Linked DNA regions of Xenopus tropicalis. The protein of the gene in region 1 purifies or fractionates together with the protein of each later gene. This does not show direct contact. Links are inferred from orthologs where the notes say so. Each region holds a gene or a part of one and is shown in the gene's direction. Other genes may lie near its edges.

Region 1 (6,524 bases):
TACAAATCCTTTCCTGGAAATGGTCAAGTTCTTACTGGAAAGAATTGCTCCGGTGCATATAGATTCAGAAGCTATCAGGTACAGTCTCTCCTTGTATTCTCTGTTTTTAAGAAAATTGCAGTCCCTTCGTGCTTGCATAGGCTGGTTGCTAGGGTAATTTCAACTGAAATTGTGAATTGTAGAGCTGCTAAACAAAAATCAAAAACCACAGAATTTCTACATCATACTTACAGTTAATTTTAAGGTGAACAACCCTTTTAAGGGTTTATCAATGACCTGACTTTAAAAACTCTAATTTGAGACAGTTGGGGAATTCACAGTTTGTATAAATGTACTTTAATGCAGTTGCTGCAAAAGCTTATATCAAGCTTTTTTTCTACAATTTATCTATGTGCATATACTGTAAATGTGAGCTGGTGAGGCCTAGACTGGCCCATCCTTTGGTTATCCTGTAGGTGTGGCTTTCCACAGGGATACTGATACCTCCTCCTGTTGCTGGGGGCTGGCACATTATGCTTCCATTTTAAATTATAATTCACCAGAAGCTGTACTGGAAGGTTGGGGATGGAATGGAAAAGAGGAGGGGGGACCTGGCACACACAATAGTGAGGAAGTATAGCTGTCACACAGACTTGGGAATAGAGACCTAGCCCTGAACTTAGGCAGTGGGAGAGGTGAGAGAGAGTTGGAACCTGAACATGAAAGAGAGAGAGCCATAAACTTGTGATAATAACCACCTATTATTCATGTTGGTATTTGCTTGATATGTTTCTTTCCAGTGCTCTAGTGAAGCTAATGAATAAGTCAATAGAAGGTACAGCTGATGATGAAGAGGAGGGTGTGAGCCCTGATTCTGCCATAAGGGCAGGTTTGGAACTGCTAAAGGTACGTTGTTAAGTAATTTCCTTGCTCAAAACACCAGTCATGTCAGAAAATTGAAAATACTGTGCTTTACTATATCCAGATGTGCAGACTAGTGTTGTATATGTTCCCATATATTTGTGTGTGTTTGTCTCCACTGGATTTAAACCCCTGACAATTATGAAAAAGCTGGATGCACAGGTCAAAATATTAATATACTGTAAATAGTAATTGTACCAGCACTCCCTTTTCTTGTATAAAAAGTGTGAATTCCATTCTATCAAGTTACACAATGCAAAAAATACATTTAATCCTCAGCTTTTCCATTAGACATATTTTGAAGTAAAGGTAAACCATAGCAGCCGTCTACTATAACAGGAAACTGCTGCTCTTGAAACATTGTTCAGGGTTTTGCTTGCCGTTCGTTCTCTTGTTGTAGACTGTTAATGTTTATTTATAGAAAGTCTCATTTGATAACATGAATGGCGCACATAGTACATATTATCTCTTAACCTTCCATGGCATATATATATTTTTTTTTTTTCAGGTACTTTCCTTCACCCACCCTACCTCATTTCATTCTGCTGAAACATATGAATCCTTCCTTCAGTGCCTCCGTATGGAAGATGATAAAGTAGCTGAAGCAGCTATCCAGATCTTTAGAAACACAGGGCACAAAATTGAGACTGACCTGCCACAGATTAGATCGTAAGTTTCCTTTTGCTGCCACGAGAAACAAAGCCCATGATAATCACTCAAGTCATTTAGTTGTTTAGGTGTTTGTAGCACTGAGTACTACTGTACAGCTTCAGTTATGTCCCTCAATTCTTATCCCAGTGAGACCCCAGCATAAGAGAGGGTGCAGACAGGTTCCCAGAGTGCTGCACCATTTTAGGGGTGCTCATATTGTTAGGTTAAACAAGCTTGAATCTCCATGAGCTTGTTTTGAGTCCATTTGGAGCAACCCACTTTATAGCCACTCTGGGACTGCCCATCAAACTTTCCTTTCCAGCTTTACTTTGATAGCTGCATATCTCCACCCAAATACAGCTTTTTGAAAAGTAAACATAATTTCAATTAAATTTGCAATATACATCAATTGATTGTTTTTAATGTAATATGGTTTTGAAACGGTTACCTAAGCCTGCTCCCCTGATCTCCTGCTGATCTGGCTGACTACTTTGAGACTCAAAAAAATGTAACCACAGTCAACTGTCCTCAGCCTGCCTTAGGGTGAAGACAGGCTCTTTAACAAATTTTGTTTTTGAAGCCTGAGTTCCCCTTTAAGTATTAGTATGAGTTCAAAGGAACTGTAACATCACTTTTTAACATTTGAAGTATCTTTTCTAAATACTTTTGTTAGGAAATTTACCTTACCATTACTTTATTGAGCTCAGGTAGCAGATCGCATAGTAGAAAGACAAAAAGGCAACAGCAGCCCACATTTGATATTCATATTGTAGATTTTGGGCCTTTAAACATGGGCAATTTTTTCATGTATATGAATTACTAGAAAATGGTTTTGTAATTCACTTGCAGTCCATTCACAAAAGACAAGGGCTATTTTGATCATTTTGGCATTTGGCAAGACTTTCAAATTGTTCTACCTGCCACTGGCCAGTTGCACCAAATTCTGATTTTGGTAAACTGCAGTTTCTATGAATAATCAATAATCAAAGTTGGTTTTTTCTCTGTTATTAGCGCACTTATCCCAATATTGCACCAAAAAGCCAAAAGAGGAACCCCGCACCAAGCAAAGCAAGCTGTGCACTGCATCCATTCTATATTTTCCAACAAGGAAGTGCAGCTGGCTCAAATATTTGAGGTAACAATTTCTTTATTCTAGACAGGTTATTGTATTGACTAGAAAATTGGAATGCTGTTTATCTTGTATTGCACAGAAAAACCTTCCTTTATCAATCTTTATCTCTTGAGTAATTTAACAACCGCATTTTCAAAAACAGAATGATTTTTTTTTTTTTGTCTTCAGTACTATCTAAGCTAATATCAAATGCAGGGTGCAGGCTTATTAGGGCGAATGCAAGTCCATCAGAAATTATTTGTTTAAATAGGAAACTGCTAAAGGGATAGACAATGCTGTATTCTGAAATCAATCAGGGACCAGACAAAAGGTGTTGGACCTTCATGGGGGGAGTTGTTTGGCAAAAATGTAATATATAAACGCTGGATTGGGCAGATGTCTAACATAATAGCCAGAACACTACTTCCTGCTTTCAAGAAGCAGTCTATCTATTGTACCTAGTTTCATTTTTCATAATTTGTCACTCTGGGCTAATAAAGATCATTATCTTTAAAAATGGCCCCTTTATTGGAGCTCCCTATAGATCTTTTGAGGGAATTTCTCAATAAATTAGCCCGAAACACATCATTTTTTATTTTATTTTTTTTAACACGTTCCTTCAGATGAGTATAACTCACTGACACACATTCAGGTTCAGATTCAGTTTGGAATTTTTAGCAGCATGTTAGAAAGTTGTAGAAGATAATAGGTTATATTTTATCTTTTAATTGGTGTGTTCATTGTCTGCTCTCTTCCAGCCCCTCAGTAGAAGCTTAAACGCAGATGTACCAGAACAGCTAGTTACACCTCTAGTCTCTCTGGGTCACATTTCTATGTTGGCTCCTGACCAATTTGCTTCTCCAATGAAATCTGTTGTGGCAAACTTCATTGTAAAGGATCTTCTTATGAACGACCGGGTATGTCTCCTTTCCACCCCAAACCCCCAATCCCTTGGTACTTAATTGAAATAATGATGTAACGTTAATGTAAATCTATTTTGTTTCTCAAATTTCTAGTCCAATGGTGACAAGAATGGCAAACTGTGGTGCCCAGATGAGGAAGTATCGCCAGAAGTTCTTGCTAAAGTAAGATTGTCCTCATTTCAGCCAAAATACCAGAAAGCCATATTGAAAGTAACACCAAAAAATAAGTGTTTAAAGTAATTCAAAAACTAAGTACTTTTAGCCTGCATTGGTAAGTTGTGTGTTTTCTTCTGGAATAATAACCCAGAACAAATTATCACATGCCTATGATCAAGTGCGATGACGCACAAAACGCATCCAGCTTAATAATTGTAATGGAGAAATAAAGTTTTTGGTTTTCAGAACATCCCTTTGGGTCCTTTTATGCGTAGAATTCCATTTGGTTCCATTTAGTTTCCTTTTTGCTTCTGGAACATTACAATAGTTTATATAAATTAGCTGCTGTGTAGCCATGGGGGGGGCAGCCATTCAAGCTGGAGAAAAGGCACAGGCTGCACAGCAGATAACAGATAAACTCTGTAGATGATTGTGTTTTATCTGTCATCTGCTATGCAACCTGTGACTTTTCACGTTTTGAATGGCTGCCCCCATTGCTACACAGCAGGGTATTTATATAAACTATAGTAGTCTTTCTGAAGCAAACACACAACTTTACCCAGTGCAGGGCAGCAGTACATTATAATTTCTTTGATACATTTTCATTTTTTGGTGTTACTGTTCCTTTAACATCAACTTGGGGGGCACAGGAACAGTATGGTATAGCCTCCACCAGTGCCTGTCCAAGCCACACAGACCCTGCTTTATCAGCATTAATTTGGCTGCCTCCGTTATATAAGGGCTGCGTGTCCTAGTGCCCCTGCCGTATAAATTAAGCATTTTTTCCTCATGTTTAGGGCATTCTCTGTTTTAAACAGATATCTGACTCCAGGGGTTGTCCTTTAGCCCTGTAAGGGGGCTTCCCCCTCAGTTGAATTCCTCTTCAAGGGCTCTTGGTACTTCTAAGCTCAGAGCATTTCCTCATCTCCAGGTTTCCAAAAGAGGACGACGAGGAGACAAATCATTCGAGACTTTGGTTCAGATTTGGCCAATCTTTTTTTTTTTTAAAAGGAAAACTAGCACTAAAATGCATTCTCATCCTGGGATGCTCTGACTTAAACATGTTACAAATGTATTAAAGAACATGTTTCAAGGCTGGCTTGGGATTATAATTGTGCAGATAATGTGAGTAGTAGCCAGCATAGCTTTTGTAAAGATGCGTTTGTCAATGGGTGATCCTCTGAAATTATGTAATATACCACAAATTTGGCTAGTGAGGCCAATGATCTCTAATCTTTTTACTTAGCAGTATTCAGAGCAGAAGAATGCCAATACTGGTGTATTGAATATATGTAGCACTGTATCTTGGTACCAAAAAAATAGTAGTTTTCATAAGTTTAATGCAAGAGCTATTTATATGATTAATACTGTCTCTTATCAGGGCCAAGCAATAAAGCTATTAGTTCGTTGGTTGCTGGGCATGAAAAACAACCAGTCAAAGTCAGCAAACTCCACGCTACGGTTATTATCGGCTATGCTTGTGAGCGAGGGAGATCTGACGGAACAGAAGAGAATAAGGTACATTTTAAGACTATTGTGCAAGACCTTTGCTGGATTTTTGCTGGATTTAGTAGAAGTAGGAAGGAAGTTAAAGCGCTTCCTTATTTTGCTGACATGCTTTACCCACCATTATGATTTCTGTCCCATTTGGTGTGCTTAGCTGCAGTGATTCATTTGCTTAATTTTGTATAAATGACTATTAGAAGACTATTCCTATCAGTCCCTTGCTGTATACTGACTCACATAATCTTACACTGTTTCAGTAAATCCGACATGTCTCGCTTGAGGTTGGCTGCTGGAGGTGCTATCATGAAGCTTGCTCAGGAACCATGCTATCATGAAATTATTACTCCCGAGCAGTTTCAGCTCTGTGCGTTGGTTATCAATGTAAGTTCCCCCATTCTAATCTTCTACATGTTTAAAGGGTAACAGGTTTGCTCAGCTGCACATACACCCAGAATTGTATACTAATGAATAGCTGTTTTTTGTGGCTATAACTGCCTGGCCATTCTGAGGGCCTGTCAGGGGTGCAGTTATTGTGGAAGACGTGTGATCAAAGTATTCCCTAGAAATTCTAGACCTCTCATTTTAACCAGCAGACAGAACCTCTTGTAATTAGAATGGACACGTCCACTGGAAGGATCTGTTAAATAAAGCATCCAAGAGTTTATTCTATAGTGCTCTTGTATATTTATACACAGTTATGAGGACCCCCCCCCTTCCTTTTTCTACAACATTTCCATTCCCAGTTGGCTAGTCCCACTTGCTATGTCCCTCATAAAACCATGCTGATTCTGCTTATAATGCCACTCTTCAGAACATAATCTTTAATGTGATTCCTTAAAAGATATGTAAGCCTTTATTTTAAAATCCTATAAAATTACTCTAAGCAGCCCCCAGAATAATCTACCTTTCTCCCTGCATGCAGATTGTTTTCCTCTATTACAGCCAGTTCAACTGCAGCACTTTTACCGACTTCCTTGTATAGCGTGACACTCCACCCCACTCCTCCTCTTTCTGATTATGAAGGCCTTAAATAGGTGCCTACTGGGCATACTCACTCTGTCTGGTTTAATTAAAATTAGGCATGTGCAGTAGGCACCTCTTTGAGGTCTTTATAGTCACAGACAAAAGAAATGCTCATAAAGCAAAAGGGGTGGGGCTTCATGCTAGACAAGGAAGTCAGTAAAAGAGATGGAGTTCAGCTGCTTGTAATAGAAAAACAAGATAAATCTGCATGCAGGGAGAAAGATATGTTATTCTAGGGGCTGTACAGTGTAATT
Region 2 (6,524 bases), on another chromosome or scaffold:
ATACAGCCATAAGCACTCGCAGAAATGCTGCACTGAATTCTCTGCAAGAGAAACAGGATTTGTTGTCTTTGTTTTCCTGTACCGGAGACACGCAGCTCTCTCCTCTCTCCTGCTCCCGCCCCTCCCTCAAAAATGCTAAGAACCCCCCCCCCCCTTAGGAATATGTGATCTGAGCCAATCAGCAGGAAGCTTCCTCATAGTCTTACAAACTGCACATACACACCGGTCTTGGTGCAGTGCAGTGTGTGAGGAATTATGGGAACTTTCTTTACAGAGCTCAGCGTTTTTTTTCCTTTGAGACTTCTGATCAACTGAACGGGAGAAATATGGGGGGGACTTAAGGGCACTATTGAGACAACTGAAGGTATGCCTGCAGCTTGAGATATTAACTCTTTGTTAGCCTTTCCTTCTCCTTTAAATAACAGTAAAAAACAAAACTGGAATAGATTGCTTCTATTTCAAAGACTAAAGCTGGTCATACATATACTCATTTTGATTACAGTGGGTAAAAGTGCAAGTCCATTAAAAGAATAATAACAATACACTGCAGAGCTCCTTTTTCATATTTATCTAATGGGTATATGGCCATGTGAATAAAATTTTAGGTTTGTGCATCTTCTGCTAAGGTGCAACTGATTTGGCCTGTTATCTGCATGTGGTAACTTGCCCCTAAAAAGAAAGGTCTATTTTATGTATACTTTGTTTAATCTGCTGGTAACATACCTTTATTTTGTTCTAGTTATATACTGTAGTTCAGCATGTAAAGCACTTCAACGATGTTGTAGAATTTGGAGAGAATCAAGAATTCACTGATGATATTGAATATCTGCTAAGTGGGCTTAAAAGCAGTCAGCCCATAAACACACGTTGCCTTAGGTAAGAGATATATGCCTTCCTAGGCAGTGCCAACAGTCTCTGCATATATCTGCATGCATGCTTTTGGTTTTATGCCTTAAACAGATTCACTGACCTAACTGTGACAGAGGTAGTAAACTAGTCTTGTCACTGTCTTCCCCTTATTAATGTTGCAAATTATCACAAGTGGCTGATTCGGAGTTGCATATGTGATATGCTGACCACTGGCCTTTTTAAGCTGATTTCTTTGGAGGATTGGGATGACTGCTTGTACGGCTGGAATTTTTAATAAGTTATTACAAATCTATTTTAAAGAAGACTACAATTTAACTATATTTCTTATCCTGAAATCATGTCATAGGACATTTTTTTATTTTGCATCTTGATTTTTAAGAAATTATATATTTTTTTGTATAGTTCTCTCTGTTAAGATTTGTAAATTTTGTAAACTGATATATGCGTCTCCTCGTTACAGTGTAATAAGCCTGGCGACAAAATGTGCCATGCCAAGTTTCCGAATGCATCTGAGAGCGCATGGAATGGTAGCCATGGTCTTCAAAACACTGGATGATAGTCAGCAACACCAGGTATTTTCAAACCGTCAACTCAAGACTTGCTTTCATTGCACCATTAGGACTATTATAATAAAGATCATTATAATAAAAAATAACAATAATAGCCTCAGAATTTTTTAGGTCGCTGGTAACAGTAAAGCAGAAACAAATTAAAAAAAAGTGTGTGTGTATAATATATATAATTTTTTTTTTTAAGGATAAGTAAGCCTTTATCATAAAAGCCCCTCATGTCGATTCTGTGTCACAAGCAGCTAATTTCTTAGCTACTTCCTAGTCTAAAATGAAGCTCCACCGCTTTTTCTTTGCTGAGTTCTCCTTTTGATAGACATGAATGGTACTGTACTGCATGATTAGTAATGAATGTCAGTAGCACTTTGATGTGATACATCTGCTGCTAAATCATCACATCATTAGGGACAGGGATTCTGTCATGATTTTTATGGTGTCATTTTTATTTCTAAATTATGCTGTTTACATAGTAAATTATTCACTCTAACATTTTAAAATGGTAATTCTTGAACCAACAAATATATATATATTTTTTTAGTTTGTAATATTGGTGTGTAGACAGCCATCTCAGTGCATTGTGCCTGAGCTTTTAAAAAGAGCCAGCACTACACATTAGAACTGCTTTCAGATAACCTATTGTTTTTCCTGCCTCCATGTAACTGGAGGAGTCTTAGGGCTCTGGCACACAGGGAGATTAGTCGCCTGTGACAAATCTCCCTGTTCGCGGGCGACTAATCTCCCCGAAATGCCATTCCATCAGCGAAAATGTAAATCGCCGGTGGGATGGCATACGCGGTGGCGCGATTCCAGTGAAATCGCAGAAGTTTCCTCTCGAGGCAACTTCCGCGATGTCACTGAAATCGCGCCGCCGCGTATGCCATCTCACCGGCGATTTACATTTTCGCCGATAGGATGGCATTTCGGGGAGATTAGTCGCCCGCTAACAGGGAGATTTGTCACGGGCGACTAATCTCCCCATGTGCCAGAGCCCTTAAAGAAACAGTAACATCAAAAACTTAAATTGTTTTAAAGTAATTAAAATATAATGTGCTATTGCTCTGCAAAAAAACTGGTGTTTTTGCTTCAGAAAAGCTACTATATAAATAAGCTGCTGTGTAGCCATGGGGGCAGCCATTCAAGCTGGAAAAAAGGAGAAAAGGCACAGGTTACATAGCAGAAAACTAGTAGATAAGCCCCATATAATGGGGGTTTGTCTGTTATCTGCTATGTAACCTGTGCCTTTTCTCCTTTGAATGGCTGCCCCGATGGCTACACAGCAGCTTACTTATATAAACTATAGTAGTCTTTCTGAGGCAAACACACCAGTTGTACCAGTGCAGGGCAACAGTACATTATATTGTAATTACTTTTATACACTTTCATTTTTTGGTGTTACTGTTCCTTTAAGTGGGGCTTGGATTTCTTACTATTGAGTGCTATTCTGCTATCTACTGGGAGCTGCTATCTTGCTGCCTTCCCATTGTTCTGCTGATCGGCTATAACTGAAGTTTATCAGAGCTCAGGTCACATGGCTGTGGCACCCTGGGAAATGAAGAACATGGTTAACCCCATGTGAAATTTTTTGATTTTTGAAAAACAGATTTCAATGCAGGATTCTGCTCAAGAAGCTCTATTAAATGCATTTTGAAAAAAAAAACTTGTTTTGCCATGACAGTATGCCATACCCTATATTTTTTTAAAGTTGAGTGGTGCTAAGAGTTCAACAGGGCAGAACATAATCTGTCTGTTATTCATTGGCAGCTAAGCTTGACAAGGATATTTTTTCCTGAATTATCTTATTAGTTCAAAATAAGTAATGGTACATTGTTTTCATGAGCATTTATCTGTTTGTTTATATCTGGTTTTGTTTTTTCATTATTAGAATCTAGCACTTTGCACTGCTGCACTGATGTATATACTGAGCAGGGATCGCTTAAACATGGACCTAGATAGGGCGAGCTTGGATCTTATGATCCGACTTTTAGAAATGGAACAAGACCCCTCAGCCAGACAAATGAATGAGAAAGAAATGAACAAAATCAAAGAGAAGATACGCAAACTGTGTGAAACTGTCCACAACAAACATTTAGATTTGGAAAACATTACGGTACGTCCCTATCAGGGTTGTTCATTCCTTTGTAACAATTTTAAAGTAACTTATATGGCTTCTCAACAGGTTTTATGTGGCATTTAGATTTTTTATTTTTCATGATTCCTTTTTTTTTTATTTTATAGCAAATCGCAACTTTCCATAGGAAAGACCGTTTTTCTTACATGTATGGCCACATTCAGTTAAAGCTAAAGACACAAGTTACAAAATAGTCTCCCGCTTGTTGCTAGCCAAAATGCATTCCTTATAGCATAATTTGGAATGGGAAAACATTAAAGCTATGGTATTGGCAGTTAAAGGAACAGTAGCACCAAAAAATGAAAGTGTATAAAAGTAACTACGATATAATGTACTGTTGCCCTGCACTGGTGCAGCTGGTGTGTTTTGCCACTGAAAGACTACTATAGTTTATACAACCAAAGCTGCTGTGTAGCTATTCAAAGGAGCAGATAACAGTTAAAACCCAGTTATTCTACAGAGATTATCTGATATCTGCTGTGTTACCTGTGCCTTTTTTCTCATTTTTCCATCTTAAATTGCTGCCCCATAGCTACACAGCACATTATTTATATAAACTGTTGTAGTGTTTCTGTAGCAAATACACCGGTTATACCAATGCAGGGCAACAGTACATTATATTTTAATTACTTTAAAAACACTTAAATTTGTTCTATTGCAGACAAGCAGTTATTAATCCGGAAAACATTCCTACATGTGGTTGGTGTGTTTTTCTATTTATCTGTTCATTTGGCTTTTTGTCCTCAACACAGACTGGACACTTGGCAATGGAAACATTACTATCTCTTACGTCAAAACGAGCAGGAGACTGGTTTAAAGAGGAGTTAAGACTTCTAGGTGGTCTTGATCATATTGTGGATAAAGGTATGTTCTGTTGCTTTAATTATACATACAGTCCTACACCTTTAGCACTTCTGTTACACTATCCTAACTTATTTTACAGCGCTGCAGAATATGTTGGTGCTTTATAAATAAATGTTGATAATAATAATAGGAGGATAATTATGATTATAGCAATTAAATGTACACATAACTTTTTATAATATTTTATAATAAAATTGGCAATTGCCACAATTACTATTTTTTGTGTTTCTGTGTTTTAAAGTCTGTGAAATAAAATTTAACTGCCATAGCATTTGCAAATGTCTTGTATTTTAAACACACATATACCTGTATTAGATATTTCCTACTTTTTCACTTACAGTATTAACAAAATTTAGCAAGGGGTGCTCAAAGTTTAGCAGTCCTTTTCCTGGTGTACAGGCTTATTTGGTGAGGCCCAGTTGGCAGCTAAACTTGGCCCATATATGGCCACCTTTAGGTCTGATGTAATAGAGCTTATGTTGCAAGGGATGTTTTAATCACTACTACTTGATTTTTGTTATGAATTCACCATATCCACTATTTTGGGATTCAGCCCTACCCAGAATCCTTCACAAAAGATTTAGACATATGCAAATGGAGCTAAGGGGGGGGGGGGTTGACGGAAGAATTTTCATATATAATATATCACGGCTACAGTTCATTTCTTTGCATTTACCTATACTACCTTCCCCTTGCTGCAACTTAAAGATAATGAGCTCTGTACAAGTGAGCAGGTTTTTTTTTTCCCTTGCTGCAACTTGAGGAGTTGCTCATTATACAGGGATTTATTTGGGGACTGGAAATTTTATAAACTACAGTGTGTTTTGGTGTGTAAGGGATTACAAGGGCTTGTTATAAAACTGTTCTATCATGCAACATTGTTTAGTTGTTTTAAAGTTGAACTCTGGCTTCCGAATCAAGATTTGTTAAACAGCCCCACACAAAACCCTAATATACATATCGCTGTAATCTGTTCCTTCAAAAAGTATGAATAAAGACCTTTTTTTTGCAGCTGGATTTCAGCATATAAATATGATATGTTTCTGCATTATTTAAAATCCTGGCAGGGGAGAAGGGACTAAAACATTGATGTTTTCACAGACAGCATGCATGTTGTGTCTCAGTGAAGTTTCCCTTTAACAGAAACGTATAGGGTACATTATAACTGTACAATTTCAGTGTTATAATACGAACATTTTTAACTTTAATATTGGTGTTTTTTTTTTAAGATATCAGCAGTTCTGACTGTGCTAAGTTTATGGAATGTACTCTGAGTGACCTCTACTGTTCAGCCTAGGCAACAGCTGGTCAGAACAGCAAAATATAATTTTCCCTCTGCAGGATATGCCCGTTCAGTTTTATTTGATTAAGCCTAGAGAGCACTAGACCCAATCCTGAAGTATTAAAAAAGGCTTGCTGCAGCATGCTCTGACTCTAAGCAATTTTATATTTTTATTATGTGCCCTTTATGTCCCGTATTTGTTTTCCTTGTGTTTAACAATTTTTTCCCCCCTCATAGTTAAAGAATGTGCTAATCACCTTGACCGTGATGAAAGTGAAGAAAAATTAGTTGCTTCTTTGTGGGGAGCAGAACGATGTTTACGGGTCTTAGAGAGCGTGAGTGTCCTAAGTTTGCTTATTTCTTCAGCATAAAGCTGTAATAACATGATTAAACAAATTACATTTTATCTTAAATGGATTCTAGTTTGTAGAACCATTGCCATCCTTTCAGCTTAAAGTTACATGGAGATTTGTACCTTCCGAGTACAGTTAGTTACATATTTCTTTTAATGCCTGCAGGGGGACATGTTTGTGTACTATCTTTGTCATCTTCCTTATATATTTATATAGTTTAAACCCAAGCCATATAAATATTCATATTTGTTAGCATATTCTGTAGCTAAAAATTTCTGCCAAAAACCTTTGAAAGTGGAATTGTTACAAAGGCTTCAGATGTCAACGAGACTAGTCTACTCACTTTTCAGTACATTTCCTCATTTTTATCTAAGTGTGACTTCATGGATGCAGAAAACTGCAGAGGAGGGCTATCTGGTACATTTACCTACGGGTTACTGCTAAGGCAAGCCCATGCC
Region 3 (6,450 bases), on another chromosome or scaffold:
AGAAACAGCGCTGCATATTTCTACTGTATTCCAAATAATGTTGAATGTGTTTTTTTTGCATTATTGCAGAATGTTTCACATGATTAAAATATCTGCCTATGTGTTTTTTTTTTTTTTTATAATAATATTCACAAGTGGACTTATTACAATAATTGGTTATGTTCCACTGAATACCCCCTCCCCTTTTGAGTACTGCTTGGCATTTACTTGAATGGGAAAACACTTTTTGTACTAGTAAGCTGATATAGTTTGGGAAAACAGATTTCCCGAGTGATATTGACATTATGGCAAATGTGAATGGGATGCTGATGTTGGCAGTGGTGTTCCTTCCTTTCAGGACCTGTAATGATCAAAACTCTTGTGATTTTTACCCTCATGTTCTCTGCCATAGTATGTCTGGGGATGTTTTGATTTGTTGTATATTATTTTAACACTTGTATCTCATTTTTTGCCACCCTTTTCATTTGCAGGTATCGTCTCTCCACCTAAAAGAAGATCCCAAAGAAAATCTGCTTCAGACAGTCCGGTATGTTCTTTACTTTCCATCCCTCTATTAGCCAGCTCCATTCAACACTCTAGTAAAGGGAAAATCCACCTTGAAGCAATCTTGTCCTGTTCTTTTAAGTTGATCTTCACTTTCCATAGTTGTTATAATTTGCATTCCTCTACCCATTTCCAGCATTTAAAAAGATTCAGAGACCCGGCACCCAAAAGACTATTGATCTCCGAATCTACAATTTTATTGCAACTTGCCCCAGTCCCTTTTACCTTCCAGTCTATTATTTAAACCACTGTCTTGCAGCTGTGGTACATTGGACCCTAGCAATCAGATAACCTAAATTCCAAATCCACAAAAAATGAAGGCCATTTGGAAATCATCTGATAATATACTGTCTACACCATACTGAAAGTAAATTAAAGGTGAATGACCCCTTTTAAGTTATTTTAAATTTTGTATTTTTCAGATCCCAGATCCTATCATGAAACGTTCAATTACGGTCAAGAAAATAATGCCCAGAAAAACACTGGTAAATATACTGTCGTGTTATGAAAAAAGAAAGCTTTACCCTTCTTCTGATATAATAATATTGGGGACTAATGCATATATAAAAGGAAGTAGCTAGTTCCGCTCACATTAGTGCTGAGTGAAGCAGGGGGAATAATATAGCTACTTTGTGACTCACTACAACACCAGGTGGGGAAATATAGGCACCTAGGCTTCATTTAATGGTAATTTTTTCCTGGTGCCAATATAATTATTTCTCTGGGAAGAGCATTACCTTTTTTGTAAATCCTTACATTCCCTGCTGCAATAGTGTCATTCTCCCATTGTTCAGCACTGTAAATCTTTGTTGTCTTCAGTTCATAGTGTAAAAATTCTTTGTATGTTTTTATCAGTAAGATGCTACAATTTTTCCAAATTGTTGTGCATTTTTCTAGAATTATCAGAATTCTTGATTATTAATTATATAGGAACAGAAGTAAGATAAGATTTAACTTGTGCCAATCTATAATATATGATTATGTATTGCATGTTTAGTGTATGATTAGGCAATGCTGATTTACATTGGTGTATTTCCAAATTGCTCACTGATGTATTTTTGTCCTCTGTTTCCAAAACATAGCTACCAGCTCAGATTCCAGCATATGTTTTTTAAAACTTGCTCTCACACTACTTTTATTTAATTTGTACTTACCTGAACTGAATCAGAAGCATTTTTTCTAACATTTCAGACTCAATGTTGCTACTATAACTGGTTTCAGCACCCAAGGCCTGAACCTGACATTAGCAGAGTACAGACAGACTGCTGTATTTAATCCTCACATTCACATGGCAGAATCTTAGCCTTTGTAAGCATTATTTGGGTTGTACCAATTTCTAATCAACAGCAAAACTGAATTTCATCAAAGAAAACTGGTGCATTCCAGAATTTTTTTCTTATTTTCTGTATCATTCCTATTTGTCTTTTTAGGCAGCTATTGCCAATACAGGATCTCAGTCCACACCTAAGGTAGGTCTTGACAATTTAAGTAACAAAAATCTCATGATTTCCAGCATTTAAGTGATGCTAAAAAATAACTAGTGTAAATGCCTCTGCTATTTGACTTAAGGTGGCCATACACAGGCTGATTCTAGCTGCCGATATTAGTCCTTTAGACCGATGCAGCAGCTTATCGGCCCATCTATGGGCACTAACGACAGGCCTGCCCGACCGACATTTGGCCTGAAATCATTCAGATCTCGATCGGGCAGGTTTGTCTTTTTGTCAGATCGGACAGCACCTATACCCGCCGTTCTAATTCAATCTGTATAAGCCTGATGTTGCCCGCCCGTAGGTGGGGATATCAGGAGAAGATACGCTCGCTTGGCGACCTCGCCAAGTGAACAGATCTTGCCGTGTATGGCCACCTTTAGCCTAAGCTGACTCCAATTGATGGGAAGTGACCTGTACTGAGAAGTGAACCGTTCCCCCAAGCATAAGATTGCTTTATGAATCCTGTACCATATCTGACTGATACAGTACAATTTCTACAAGTAGTTTATGTATGATGTAGGCATTAAAATGTACAACATACATTTCATCTTGTTGGATCTATGATAAAGTATGTGGAAAATGCCCTGCCAGTGTGAAGCAGTAAGATAGTTGATATTTGTATAGGAAGATAAATGCCTTACTATCTTGTTAATCTCTTCCCTGTTGTGGCTTTTTGGTGCATCCCACTTGTTTACAAGCAAAACATGATATGGTTGTCACTCTGGGCTGAGGATGTATTTACCTAGATTGCAGTCCTTTTACAGGTTTGGCCTGTCAGTAATGCTGGGCTGGGTGGTTGGTTAAGGGGTATTTAAAAAAGAAAAAAAAATAGGTTTGTGGGAGTGATACCGATCCCTATTGTGGATAGAAACGTGTTATTAATTTAAATGATTATATAGTTTTAGCTCTTTTCAATGTATATTAAATGGGTTTTGGCGGTCAGACTGCAGTATAGTGAGTTGCTTCCATAGCCGTAGTGTTTTGTTCATTGACTGTTTCCTGATTTTCTTTATTCTTTAAACAGGTTTTGAATGTCACAGCAGCTCCAAGGAGAAGTTCACGGGTAAGTTATTTTCAACATCTGATGCAAACCTTTTTTTTTTTTTTCATCTGCCTCACTGTTGGCATGAAACGTGCATTAGTTTTCTCTCTGTTGCCTTGGGCTGGTAAAGAACCTATTTTTATCCTGTCTTTTTTTTTTTTTTTTTTTTTGCAGATTTCACCAAAGATCCAAAAAGAAAATGCAATTTCTGAAAAATCACAGATGGTCCCCAAAGAGGCAACCAGCAAGCCTTCTGCTCCAGAAATTGATGTTCTATCTCCAATTCCTGTCAATATCCAAATGTCTTCTAACCAGGATAACAGAGACATTGTTATGTCCCAGAAAGTCCGGCGTTCCTACAGTCGTTTGGAAATGTCCCTCAATAGCAGCTCATTTTTATACAGCCCCACAAGGAAAACTGACTCATCTGATACATCCACTCCAAACGCAGTCCCAAAATCAGGCCGGAGATCTCTGTTTGGTTTTGATAAACTGCTGAACTCTGAAATGCCAGAGGGGGAGTTGAGAAAAAGTGGTAGTGGGACTAGGGAGAAGACTGCTAATGAGAAAACCTTGGGTACAATATTACCTGAAGAGCCAGACCACAATATTCCTGGAGTTGTGCTGGCAAAGCAGAAGAGGAGAAAGCGAAAAGTCCCCGTTATAGAGGTGAGGTGGTGGTTACACTTTCCCGTAGGGGAGGGAGTTGGTTATGAGTGGATCAGTAGGCATAATAAAGGTGGCAATGCTGAGTCAAACTCTATGGTAGTCAAGGCAATCAACCCTCTGGCTGATCAAGTGGATACCAATATTGAGGGGCCATACACATTTGGGAACTTATTGTATTCTTTAAATTCGGGTTAACTACTAAATCATCGTAATAGCAGAAATAAACAGGAGCAGTGACTCCTTTTCACTTCCTTTTGGCTGACATTTTCTATTTGGAGCAATAATCCTCAATCCACCGGGGTTGCAGGAGTATATGTCTGAATGGCCCTATAGTGTTCAGGTATGCACAGATGATCTGGCAGTATGATCGAAATCTGCCAAACAGCTGGGCATGTACGGCCAGCTTTATTGTCTCAGGTTATCACACATGAGAAAGATATGCATCCTCCTTCACCTTCCAGTCCAATTCCTTGTGCTTCAGCCATTATGATTTCCCCTGGCTCTGATTGCCCTGAATTCAGTCTCCCCTATTTAATCCTGTTCAATAACACACTATTCTATTTCTTTAATTCATTACTTATCCTTTTTTTCTCTTAGTCTATCTCACAGCTCTTGTTCGTCTTCATTTATGTCTGTACTTTTCTTTCCCCATTCTTATATTTCCATGTCATAGTTCTGCTCTTAAAATAAGAAACTTGAATGTGTTTTTTTTTGAGTTTTACATTATCAAGTCTAGTAAATTTGCAAGTCAACTTTGTATTTAATGCTACAATATTTGTACCTCTCTTTTCTAGAAGTCTGATATGGATGAATGGGCGGCCGTTATGAATGCAGAATTTGAGGAAGCTGAAAAGTTTGATCTTACTGTTGAGTGATGAGAACTTGAATCCTCGTGTCCATCTTTTTATCACCATTTGTTTACTATACAGACTATTCATTCCTTCGGATTTTGTGTAGATCTTCTGTCTTTCTAAATATATATGTTTAGGAGGGTGCAGGTATAGGTGATCATCAGATTGAACTTCAGTGCTGCATGGTTCTATAGCCATAGATTCATGTAGAAAACTATGAAAGTCAAGTCTTCTACATTGGTATAACTGACTGCAATGTAGAATGGCCAGTATTTCCTTTATTAGTTTGTTACCTACATGAAGAAGCCATAATTAACATCAGATGAACCATGAATATTAAGTTACATGCATTATATATTGGTACCTTCAGAAATCTTCTGTCTTTTTATTTTGTACGCCATTGAGCTGAATAATGTGTGTGGACCGTAATGGGAAGTAATAAGGCAGCTCTTCATAGTGAGTTTATTGCCTGCTGTTTGGGAGGAAGAGGTTATTTTTGTTTTAATATTCTATTAATGATTTATTTTGTCAATATTAAACAGGCAGTGCAAAATGTAAGTCTGTAGACATCTGGAAACTTGGGCATAGATTCATTCTGAGCGAGACTTTTATGCCTGAGAAAGAAATGTAAGCACTGCACAAAATGCTTTTCTGTTTGTGCCTAGTGGTTTGCTAAGAGTCTCTGTGCTTTTTGCTGACAGCAGGCCAAGCTTAATTGTAGCAGCAAAAGGGTATTATTGTGCCCTCAGTGTGGTTGTAATAGGCACATATAGACTGAAGCACTGAAAGGTCTTTAATACCTAACCATAGTCTGCTTCCTGCCATTAGCATCATATTCAAAGTTTATAGAAACCTGTTGACATGCAATGAAGCTGGCACTGTTGTATGGTATGTCCTTTACATACAGTCACATATCTCCTGGTAAAAATGAATAGGGGTGCATACAGATCCAAAAGAACAAAGAAGCTTTGCTCCACCTGTAAAAAAGAAAACAAAAAAGTACATTGCAAAAGTGTAACACAAGGCAGATTATAATTCCTTCCTGTCAAGTATCTGACTTTAATCAGTTGTTAATCATCATGTTTTTGAACAATGGCCTGTATTTGTTTATAAAGAACACCCCCTCCCCCCTCGACTGGTATTATAGGATCTGTATTGGCTTATACTAATGTATAACTGCTCCACTGCAATCGATTGCTAGAGGTAATGATTGGTGCTCAACCAAGACCTTTGGGAGACATTTCCTACAAACTATCCTGCAGCAGACTGAGAAATTAGAGCTGATTATCTATATATGGGCAGACCTTTTGTCTGTGGCCAGGGAAGGAGGGTGACATTTTTATTTGAGCAGGCTACCAATAGATGGGTGGGTGGGGTAAAGTTCAAAATATGAATTATTCCCTAAATGTGGCTGTGGGCCAGTCAGATAAAGTGACCATTATGTATGAGACATTTTATTTTAGGGGGAAAAAAACTGTTTTAAAGGACACTTTATTACAACTTTTTGGAGTACGTTGGGGGTAAATATGTTCCAGTGTGTAACAGTTCGAGTTCAAAATAATGCAAATGGTTAACATGAGAGCCTTTACTGAGACATTATAGGAAATTCACCTTTTTTCTTAATCCACTGAGTTTTATATCAGTCTCCTGCTGAATACTTTTCACCCAAACTTTTGTGTTTATGCAGACTCAGACAGGGTCTCTTGTAGTCTTTATCTGTATTTTATCACATCTATTCTTCCTTCTGCCTTAAGGGCTCTGGCACACGGGGAGATTAGTCGCCCGCGTCAAAACTCCCTGTTCGCGGGCGACTAATCTCCCCGAGTTGCCTTCCCCTGCCATCCCACCGGCG

The links.
Region 2: the proteins of pds5a (region 1) and wapl purify together in Homo sapiens (affinity purification with mass spectrometry; 6 studies listed by BioGRID and IntAct, with this or other methods). This does not show direct contact. The link is inferred for Xenopus tropicalis from reciprocal best matches to the Homo sapiens genes PDS5A and WAPL.
Region 3: the proteins of pds5a (region 1) and cdca5 purify together in Homo sapiens (affinity purification with mass spectrometry; 4 studies listed by BioGRID and IntAct, with this or other methods). This does not show direct contact. The link is inferred for Xenopus tropicalis from reciprocal best matches to the Homo sapiens genes PDS5A and CDCA5.

The regions. Positions count from the first base shown.
Region 1 is NC_030677.2:36,255,826-36,262,349, reverse strand, and holds part of pds5a (sister chromatid cohesion protein PDS5 homolog A), read left to right. Parts: coding exon 1-78; intron 79-779; coding exon 780-885; intron 886-1,408; coding exon 1,409-1,569; intron 1,570-2,562; coding exon 2,563-2,686; intron 2,687-3,420; coding exon 3,421-3,579; intron 3,580-3,678; coding exon 3,679-3,747; intron 3,748-5,122; coding exon 5,123-5,259; intron 5,260-5,504; coding exon 5,505-5,628; intron 5,629-6,524. UniProt on the Homo sapiens protein: Probable regulator of sister chromatid cohesion in mitosis which may stabilize cohesin complex association with chromatin. May couple sister chromatid cohesion during mitosis to DNA replication.
Region 2 is NC_030683.2:49,054,495-49,061,018, reverse strand, and holds part of wapl (wings apart-like protein homolog), read left to right. Parts: intron 1-739; coding exon 740-876; intron 877-1,330; coding exon 1,331-1,442; intron 1,443-3,321; coding exon 3,322-3,546; intron 3,547-4,319; coding exon 4,320-4,431; intron 4,432-5,950; coding exon 5,951-6,048; intron 6,049-6,524. UniProt on the Homo sapiens protein: Regulator of sister chromatid cohesion in mitosis which negatively regulates cohesin association with chromatin. Involved in both sister chromatid cohesion during interphase and sister-chromatid resolution during early stages of mitosis.
Region 3 is NC_030680.2:33,584,867-33,591,316, reverse strand, and holds the end of cdca5 (sororin), read left to right. Parts: intron 1-470; coding exon 471-526; intron 527-965; coding exon 966-1,028; intron 1,029-1,973; coding exon 1,974-2,012; intron 2,013-3,060; coding exon 3,061-3,099; intron 3,100-3,252; coding exon 3,253-3,747; intron 3,748-4,541; coding exon 4,542-4,622; 3' UTR 4,623-4,694; downstream 4,695-6,450. UniProt on the Homo sapiens protein: Regulator of sister chromatid cohesion in mitosis stabilizing cohesin complex association with chromatin. May antagonize the action of WAPL which stimulates cohesin dissociation from chromatin.